Canis lupus familiaris: one gene and its partner. The protein of the gene in region 1 interacts with the protein of each later gene in a pairwise test. Links are inferred from orthologs where the notes say so. Each region holds a gene or a part of one and is shown in the gene's direction. Other genes may lie near its edges.

The links.
Region 2: the proteins of FLACC1 (region 1) and SULT2B1 interact in binary tests that used the Homo sapiens proteins (3 or more experiments, as listed by UniProt). The two-hybrid records come from large-scale screens. The link is inferred for Canis lupus familiaris from reciprocal best matches to the Homo sapiens genes FLACC1 and SULT2B1.

The regions. Positions count from the first base shown.
Region 1 is NC_049258.1:10,293,189-10,297,594, reverse strand, and holds the start of FLACC1 (flagellum-associated coiled-coil domain-containing protein 1), read left to right. Parts: upstream 1-1,558; 5' UTR 1,559-1,928; intron 1,929-4,406.
Region 2 is NC_049222.1:108,410,469-108,414,792, reverse strand, and holds the start of SULT2B1 (sulfotransferase 2B1), read left to right. Parts: upstream 1-1,252; 5' UTR 1,253-1,375; coding exon 1,376-1,446; intron 1,447-4,324. UniProt on the Homo sapiens protein: Sulfotransferase that utilizes 3'-phospho-5'-adenylyl sulfate (PAPS) as sulfonate donor to catalyze the sulfate conjugation. Responsible for the sulfation of cholesterol.

The DNA.
Region 1 (4,406 bases):
CAGAAAAAAACCAATTCTCCAATGACATTGCTGAGTCTACATCAATCTGGTAGCACTACTTTCAGACTTCGTATTTCATGAACCTTTTTTATTTAAGCCATTTTCGTTCAAGTGATGCTTGTACATATTTGAACCATAACATGGTCCACCCTTTAAGAAATACTGTCATAAATATTGGTGGTGTTCCTCAGGGCTCTGTTCTAGACCCTATTCTCTTCTTACACTCCCCCCCTGTGTGATCTCATCCATTCCCTTGCTTTTAAATATTACCTACCCTAAAGATTCCTAAAATGTTTCTAACCCAGACTCTTCTTTTGAACTCCCAAATCATGGAACAAACTCTGTAATGGACATTACCATTAGGGTGTCTCCCTGGCACCTCAAACTCAATATGTCAGTATGTCTTGATGTCATGATCTGTTCCTTTGAGCCTGTTTATCCTCCAGACTTTATCATCTCAATAAAATGGCACTGCCATCTCCTCAGTTGCTTGGGATAGAAACCCATGAATCATCATTGCCTCCTCCTCATTTGTGATGTCTGATCAATCACCAAGTGTCTTCTCCTCTTCTCTCTACCGTGCTACCCCAGCCAAGGCCACCATTGTGTCTCATTTGACCCTGCCTCCTGACTTGGCTTCTCCAACTGTTTCTCTACATTGCAGTCAAAATGGGCTTTCTAATATTCAAAACTAGTCAAATCTCTTCTCTGATTAAAATTGTTGTGTGACTCATAAGTAGTCCCTCTTGTCCATTCCCAATGCATCTGGTGAGGCCCTTAATGTAAGGTTCATTGTGCTTTTATTGAATTTATTGTCTGTTCCCCACTAGTCTCTAAGCTCTATGGAGCACAGGACTGACATATTTCCCCATACCTCACAACAGTGCCTGGCATAGAGTAGGTAATAAAGGTGAAGTTAAATGAATGGATGAATCTATAACATTGTTTTGTAAACCATGGGTTTTGACCTATCAGTGGATCATGAAATCAACCAAGTGGATTTATAATGAGTTTTCATTCTAAATAGAAGAAAAAAATAGATAAGAATAGTATGCAATAAAGATATTATTTCACACAACTTTTTATTATAAAATGTGTAGTGAGTTGCAGTGGAATAAAAATGAAAGCCACTGGTCTATTATAAGCAAGCACTGTTTCCAGAATGAGGAAAAAGCAGCTTTCCTGCTCAGGAAAACAGGAAAAAAAAATGTCGAACTGACAACCGAAAAGGATTCCTGCCGTAGGAGGTTTGTACTTTTACAGATTTCAAAGCCTGAAATTCAAGGAAGAAATTGCCTACTTCAGAGTTTTAGGTTTCTGTAAGCAAATGACAAAAGTATTTAAAATCCTCCACAGATCCTGTCTGGCAACTACTACCATAGGCCAATTAAGCTTAAGAAGGTTGTTTAATTCTATTTCCTCTGAAATTATATCTTAAGCATATTTAGTCTTGTTTGTGTCTTGGAGAATTTGTTAACTGGCTGCTTCTCCAGCCTTCTCTCTTTAAGAGCAAGAGTGCCTGAGCCAATGAGGTGCTGCCATTCTGTTTCCATGGCAATAAAAGAAACAAACCTTCTGCCTGCTATCTCCCAACGACAAACCTCAAACTCAAGGCCCAGGTCAAGAGAGTCTGAATGGAAGGTTGACTTTCTCTTTTAGTTTGACTTTCACTGCAATATCGAAAGACTCAAACTAGACTGACCTTAGAAGGGAAATTTGCCCTACACATACTGTGGATTTTCTGCTTTGGCATTTCAGTCACTTGAATGACCACTAAAGTCTCGAGTTCTGGAACCTCCAGATTTGATCTAAAATGAATGCTATTTTATGTTGATGAGAAACTGTTTTTCTATAAAATTGGGGTGTCTTTAAGACTCTTGACTTGGAAAAGAACTACACGGGAGAAACAAATCTTTGAGCAGTCCAAGGTAAGCTCTTTGGAAAGCCTTTTTTTTTTTTTTTAAGATTTTATTTATTTATTCATGAGAGAGAGGCAGAGACATAGGCAGAGGGAGAAGCAGTCTCCATGCAGGGAGCCTGATGTGGGACTCAATTCCGGGACTCCAGGATCATGCCCTGAGCTGAAGGCAGGCGCTCAAACGCTGAGCCACCCAGGCATCCCTGGAAAGATGTTTTATGTAATTTTTTTGTCTGGTTATTAGTACTAACCTGTGATCTTTCTGAAGGCTCAGCTGGCTCACAGGTAACTACAGTGTCACTAATTAACATATTCAGTCCACTGAGCCTCGGGTAAAATCATCACAGAAAAATACAGAAAGGAAAAGAGTAGGGAAAAAGAATCCTAAATCATACATGGTTGTGTACGCATAGACAAATACACATACATACATACACCTCTATATTCTTTTTTTTAAAGATTTTATTTATTTATTCATGAGAGACACAGAGAGAGAGAGAGAGGCAGAGACATAGGCAGAGAGAGAAGCAAGCTCCATGCAGGGAGCCCAACATGGGACTCGATCCCGGCACTCGATCCCGGGACTCCAGGACTACACCCTGGGCCAAAGGCAGATGCCTAACCGCTGAGCCATCCAATAGACCTGTGCAGTTTAAACCCATGCTGTTCAAAGATCAACTGTATATGTTGTATAAGCCCCTCAGATATCGCCCTTGCCACCTTGGTTGCCCCAGCTCTTCCCTTGGTACTCCCAGACCTCCTCATAATTAAGCATAATGGGTTTAATGCCCAGCACAAGAGTAGGAGCAGAGTTTTGTAGGACCCTGTTCCAGCCCTATAACCCATGTCTATTCTGATTTTTCAACAGCTTTGTCTTACTAGTTGTTAAGTATTTTGAGTATTTATCTCCATATGTGTTTAGATGAAGAGGGCTTTACTTTTTAAAAGCAAAAGAAAATATACCAAAGCACTGTTTACAATAGAAAAAAAAAAAAAAGGAAACAACCAAATGTTCATCAATATTCAACTGGCTAAAAATGTAAATGGGTATGGTTGTAGGATAGAAATTTACACAGTTATGATGCCAAATAAACAAATCTTAGACTTCTAGATTTGCTTTGAGTATAACTTAAATGATGGATTTGTTTTAAAAATAATCTGGTATTAGAGGAGTGGGCTGGGTATAGATGAATGATATTGGCCACAAATTGCTAAATATTGAAACTGAATGACAGGTGAGTTCATTATACTTTTGTACTTTTAAAAACTTTCAATACAGTAAACTTAAGTTTAAAAAATGACGATATGCGGGGATGCCTGGGTGACTCAGTGGTTAAGCATCTGCCTTCGGCCCAGGACGTGATCCTGGAGTCCTGGGATCAAGTCCCATGTGGGCCTCCCTGCATGGAGCCTGCTTCTCCCTCTGCCTGTGTTTCTGCCTCTCTCTCTCTCTGTCTCTCATGAATAAATAAATAAAATCTTTTTTTTTAAAAGATGATATGCCTATAGTTACTGGCATTAAAAGAAACTCATGACATTGTTGATAAAAAATATATATATATAATATATGTATGGTTTCTTTCCATTTATGGAAAATTATATGAATCTCTTTCTTTTGTCCAGGGTGAATTCTAGAAGTTATTAACCAAAATATTTTCAGTGGTCATCATGTTAGTATTTTGGATAATTTTTACTTTTTTACGCTTTCATGTATTATGATTTTCTTTACAGTGGGCCTATTTCAATTTAACACATACATACAAATAAATCCATTTTCTCCAAATATTAGAAATAAAAACTTCGGTATGCAAAAATATCACTAGGGTTTATAATATTCCTAAACTCAGTTACCAGTTTTTGAGAACCTAATGTGTTCAAGGCCATGTGCCAAGAGCTTTTCTGACATGGTCTCATCTCATGTGCATGACAATACAATGAGGTGGAACTTCCATGTCCCTATTTTGCAGATAAAAAACTGAGACTCCGAAAAGCAAAGGTAAATGTCTTGAGGTCCCACAGCTATTAAGTAGAGGAGCTGTTAGGCAAAGTCAGGCCCACCTGATTCCAAAACCCAAAGAAAATTTTAGGAAAGAATGCCGTGGGGGGAGAAAAATACCCATAATTCTGATATTCTGGCCCAATTTTCATTTTTTACCATATTCTTTTCTAACTATTGTGCATATAGGCACAAACTTTTGCATAATTGTATGCATTGCATGGATACCATTTTATATCTTCATTCTTAACCATTTCTTCATGTTCCCACAGGGTTTCAAATAATCAGTTAAAACCTATGTAAAACTCCATTGAGTGACTGTACAATAATTTACCAATCATTTTGGTTTTTTAATTCTAATTTTTAACATTTTCTATAACATTGTAACAACGATTACATTTCGTGGCTTATCTGTGGATCTCCTTCCTCCTTGGTGAGTCGGTCCCTCTAGTTTCAGCCACTGGGCTTATTAGGCAACAAATATTTATCCAG
Region 2 (4,324 bases), on another chromosome or scaffold:
GAGAGGAGGGGGGTTCCCAGCTGCCTGGGTCCGGGGGGAGTGGATGAGGCCTTCCCAGAGGTGGAAGCCCAGCAAGGGGCCCATTTATCTCTGGAGGGAGAAATTGCAGGTCCCAGGGGCCAGAAGACCAGGAGAGAGGAATGCTGGGTGGAGGGTGCTAGGACCGTCCTGAAGCAGAGCTGGCACAGCCTGGTGACCCCCTCAGCCCCAGAGCCCCAGCGCCCCCGGGAGGCTGGTCTCCATCACACAGCAATCAGAATTCAACCGCCATGCACCCTGGCTCCTGGGCGAGGGACGGACCCACACACTACAGCCTGGGGGGGTGGGCCGGTGGGGAGATGGGCTCCTGGGTAAGGGACGGACCCACACACTACAGCCTGGGTGGGGGGGGCCGGTGGGGAGACCCTCCTGGCAGAGCATAAGCCCCTGGGGGTCGGAGATCATCTAAGCAGCTCGCTGTGTGACCCGGGGCAGGCCACCTGCCCTCTCTGGGCCTCCACTTGCTCATCTGAAAAGGCAGCCACGGGGAGGGGGGCTCGCCAAGGCTGTCGAGGACGGGGAGGCCACAGACTCCGGGGGCAGACAGATCGGGCTGGGATCTGCTTTGGGCTGCGTGATCACGCTCAGGGCACTTTCCCTCTTGGCCTCAGTTTCCTCATCGGGAAAGCGGGTACAATAAAGGTGTCTGACTCATCCCCAGGAAAAAGGGGTCACGCTCAGGAGGTGGGGAGTGCTGTGCCCTGACCTCTCTCTCCTGTGAGGGCTGATGAAGCCAGGGCCCGTCCTCCTGTCCTCCAAGCCCCCGGGGGACTCAGCCTCTGCTCGGGGTCCCAGCTGCACCCCAGCCCTGCCCACCCCTGCTCCCCCATCCTCCCGCGAACACAGCAGGTGGTTCTAACAGGATCCCAGCCTTTCGAGCAGCGCCTGGCAGACCCGAGGCACTCAATAAATACTTCTTGAATGAATAGATGAGCGCGTGAGTGAATGAACTCTCTGAGATGAGATTAGCTTTGTCACATTGGCAAACTGAGACTCCAGGTGGGTATGGCCAGAACCACTAGCCTGGAAGGTTCCAGTACGGAGCTGGAGTTGCCCCCTGGACTCTGGCCCACGGCCACTGGGGAGATTCCTGAGATGTGCCCATCAGCCCTCCTCCCCTTCCCACCCTCGGAGAAGGGTGGCTCCCTCCCAGCCTCTCCCGCTGTTGGAGGCGTGGGTAGCAGCTGGGAGAACCGGCTGGGAGCTGCCCCTCCCCTTGGGCGCGGAGGTAGGCACCTGGCGGGCTCCTCCGGTGGCAGACGCCGCTGCCGCACATAGCTGGCCCCGTGCCTCCTGCTCCTGCGCGTCCTCCCCTCCCTGCCCTCACCGGCCTGCCATGGACGGGCCCGCCGAGCCCCGGATCCCGGCCCTGTGGGACACGCACGAAAACAACATCTCAGAAATCAGGTGAGGCCCGGGCCTGGGCACCAGCCAGGAGATCCCCACTCCTCCTCCTCCTCCTCCTCCTCCTCCTCCTCCTCCTCGTCCTCCTCCTCCTCCTCCCTGTCCCCGGAGGAGGTGGCCTGCAGGAAGAGCCATGAGCCTCTGCATTGGTGGCCTCCAGCCTCCTGCTGCCTCAAACTTGACCCAGACCAGGACCTGGCTGGCTCATGCTCTGGGTGCAGGTCTCTCCTGGAAGGGAGTGGGGCACAAGGCTGTGCTGAGTGACTTGCTGGGATGCCTGAGGTGTCCCCGACTGTCGCAGGGTCTTGGTTTCTCTGTCTTCCAAAGTCATCTTCCTGATAAAGGGCTGGATGAGGGCAGGAGTTGGGCTCACAGTAACTGCTCGGGAAACATAAGGGCCTGGGGGCCCCTTTTCTTGCTGGACGCCCCAGAGCACCCCCAGATGGGGATGCTTTCCCTCTCAAGGGCTCGGAATGTGATGCCTGCTGTGTTCACGGGAAGATGGGGGAGCAGGGGTGGGCAGGGCTGGGGTGCAGCTGGGGCCCCGAGCAGAGGCTGAGTCCCCCGGGGGCTTGGAGGACAGGAGGACGGGCCCTGGCTTCATCAGCCCTCACAGGAGAGGTCAGGGCACAGCACTCCCCACCTCCTGAGCGTGACCCCTTTGTTCCTGGGGATGAGTCAGACACCTTTATTGTACCCGCTTTCCCGATGAGGAAACTGAGGCCGAGAGGGAAAGTGCCCTGAGCGTGATCACGCAGCCCAAAGCAGATCCCAGCCCGATCTGTCTGCCCCCGGAGTCTGTGGCCTCCCCGTCCTCGACAGCCTTGGCGAGCCCCCCTCCCCGTGGCTGCCTTTTCAGATGAGCAAGTGGAGGCCCAGAGAGGGCAGGTGGCCTGCCCCGGGTCACACAGCGAGCTGCTTAGATGATCTCCGACCCCCAGGGGCTTATGCTCTGCCAGGAGGGTCTCCCCACCGGCCCCCCCCCCAGGCTGTAGTGTGTGGGTCCGTCCCTCACCCAGGAGCCCATCTCCCCACCGGCCCACCCCCCCAGGCTGTAGTGTGTGGGTCCGTCCCTCGCCCAGGAGCCAGGGTGCATGGCGGTTGAATTCTGATTGCTGTGTGATGGAGACCAGCCTCCCGGGGGCGCTGGGGCTCTGGGGCTGAGGGGGTCACCAGGCTGTGCCAGCTCTGCTTCAGGACGGTCCTAGCACCCTCCACCCAGCATTCCTCTCTCCTGGTCTTCTGGCCCCTGGGACCTGCAATTTCTCCCTCCAGAGATAAATGGGCTCCTTGCTGGGCTTCCACCTCTGGGAAGGCCTCATCCACTCCCCCCGGACCCAGGCAGCTGGGAGCCCCCCTCCTCTCTGCTCCCCCACACCCAGGGGCCAGCAGGTCGCCAGCCCTTGCTCGGTGCATGACCTTGATGCAGGCACGTGCCCTCTTGAGCCTCAGTCTCTCCATCTGGAATGTGGGGGTGAATAGCCCTCCCCTGTAAGCAGCCCTAGGCCTGAATGTCTGTAGCCCCCTGGGTGGTGCCCTTCGGACCTCAACCTTTCTTCTCCAGGAGCTTCTGGAAGCCCTGGACCCAGAAGGATGCCCCTCCCAAGGGGCCTCAGCACCCTGCCTGTCCCCCCGCCCCAAGGCAGCTCAGACAGGCACACCATGCCCATCTGGAGTGGGAGCTCAGTGGCTCCCCCGAATCTTCCATCCTCTTGGGTTGCCATCTCGGGGATGGCCCCATCATGGGTCCCCGGGTCACCCCCAGGCACTGCCCCTTTCCCCCTCCCCTCCTGGGACTCTCCATACCATGCCCTCACCCTGCCTGTCCCCCTAGGCCTCCTCTCTCTGCCTCACCCCAGCCTCCCTGCTTCTAGTCCTTCCCAGAGCTGTCCCTCCCCTCCCTCCAGTCCCAAGTGGTGGTGGCCTGATGGTCTGGCCTCCTGCCTGTATTCCATGTATCCTGGGACTTCCATTCCCGGGTCACACCTCACTGCTCTCTGCCCCAGTGCCTTTGCATAGTCATTTCCTCCGTGAGGATTCCCAGAGAAGTCTTTTCTAATATCCAAATCTACCTCTGGCTCAGGTTCCTTCTGTGGCTCACTAGCACCCATGGTGATGGTTTGTTTCTAGAACCTTTTGAGACAGAGATTTCTTTGTTCCAGACTAATCTTACTCTGGGGGAGAAACCCATAATAGAGTTCAAGACAGAGCTGCTCTGGTTTAAAACAGGGGAGTGGGGCTGAGGTCCCGCTGCTCACCCTGCTGCATCTGTGGGAGCACTTGTCTTCCCACAGTCCCCACCTTCCTCAATGCCAGGGCCCCACCTGGTTGCCTCCACACCCACTGCAGCCTGGATCTCACACCTTGGGGCCTGTGCCTGCGAACATTCCTCTGCCTGGGATGATCTCTCCCCCTCTTGGGGCAAACTCCCTCTCGCACAATGCCAGATTCTTGGTGGGTCCCTGAGCACACTTCCAGCTTCAGACTCATCCCACACACCAAACGGGGGACTATTCACCGACAGGGACAGAGTCAGGCCACCTCGGGGCCACCTCGGGGCCCTGGGGAGTCTCTGAGAATGATGTCAAGGAATGAATGGAGATTAGGCAAGCCGGGAGCCAGGGCTTGCAGGATGAGTCAGGGCTGGAAGGCAGGTGAGCAGGGGCAGGGCAGGCAGGGAGAGGGGAGCGGAAGGGACCAGGGGCCAGTGGGAAATTCTCACAGGGACCAGTATTAGGCACAGCCACATGCGTGACTCTTAATGTCCAGCCAAAGAATTCGCAGGATATCTTCTGCAGCCTCGTTCCACTTTTTACACTCCCCCTTCCCCCCGCAGCGAACAAGAAAAGCTCGTGTATTGCTTTGAGGATACAGGCAACGG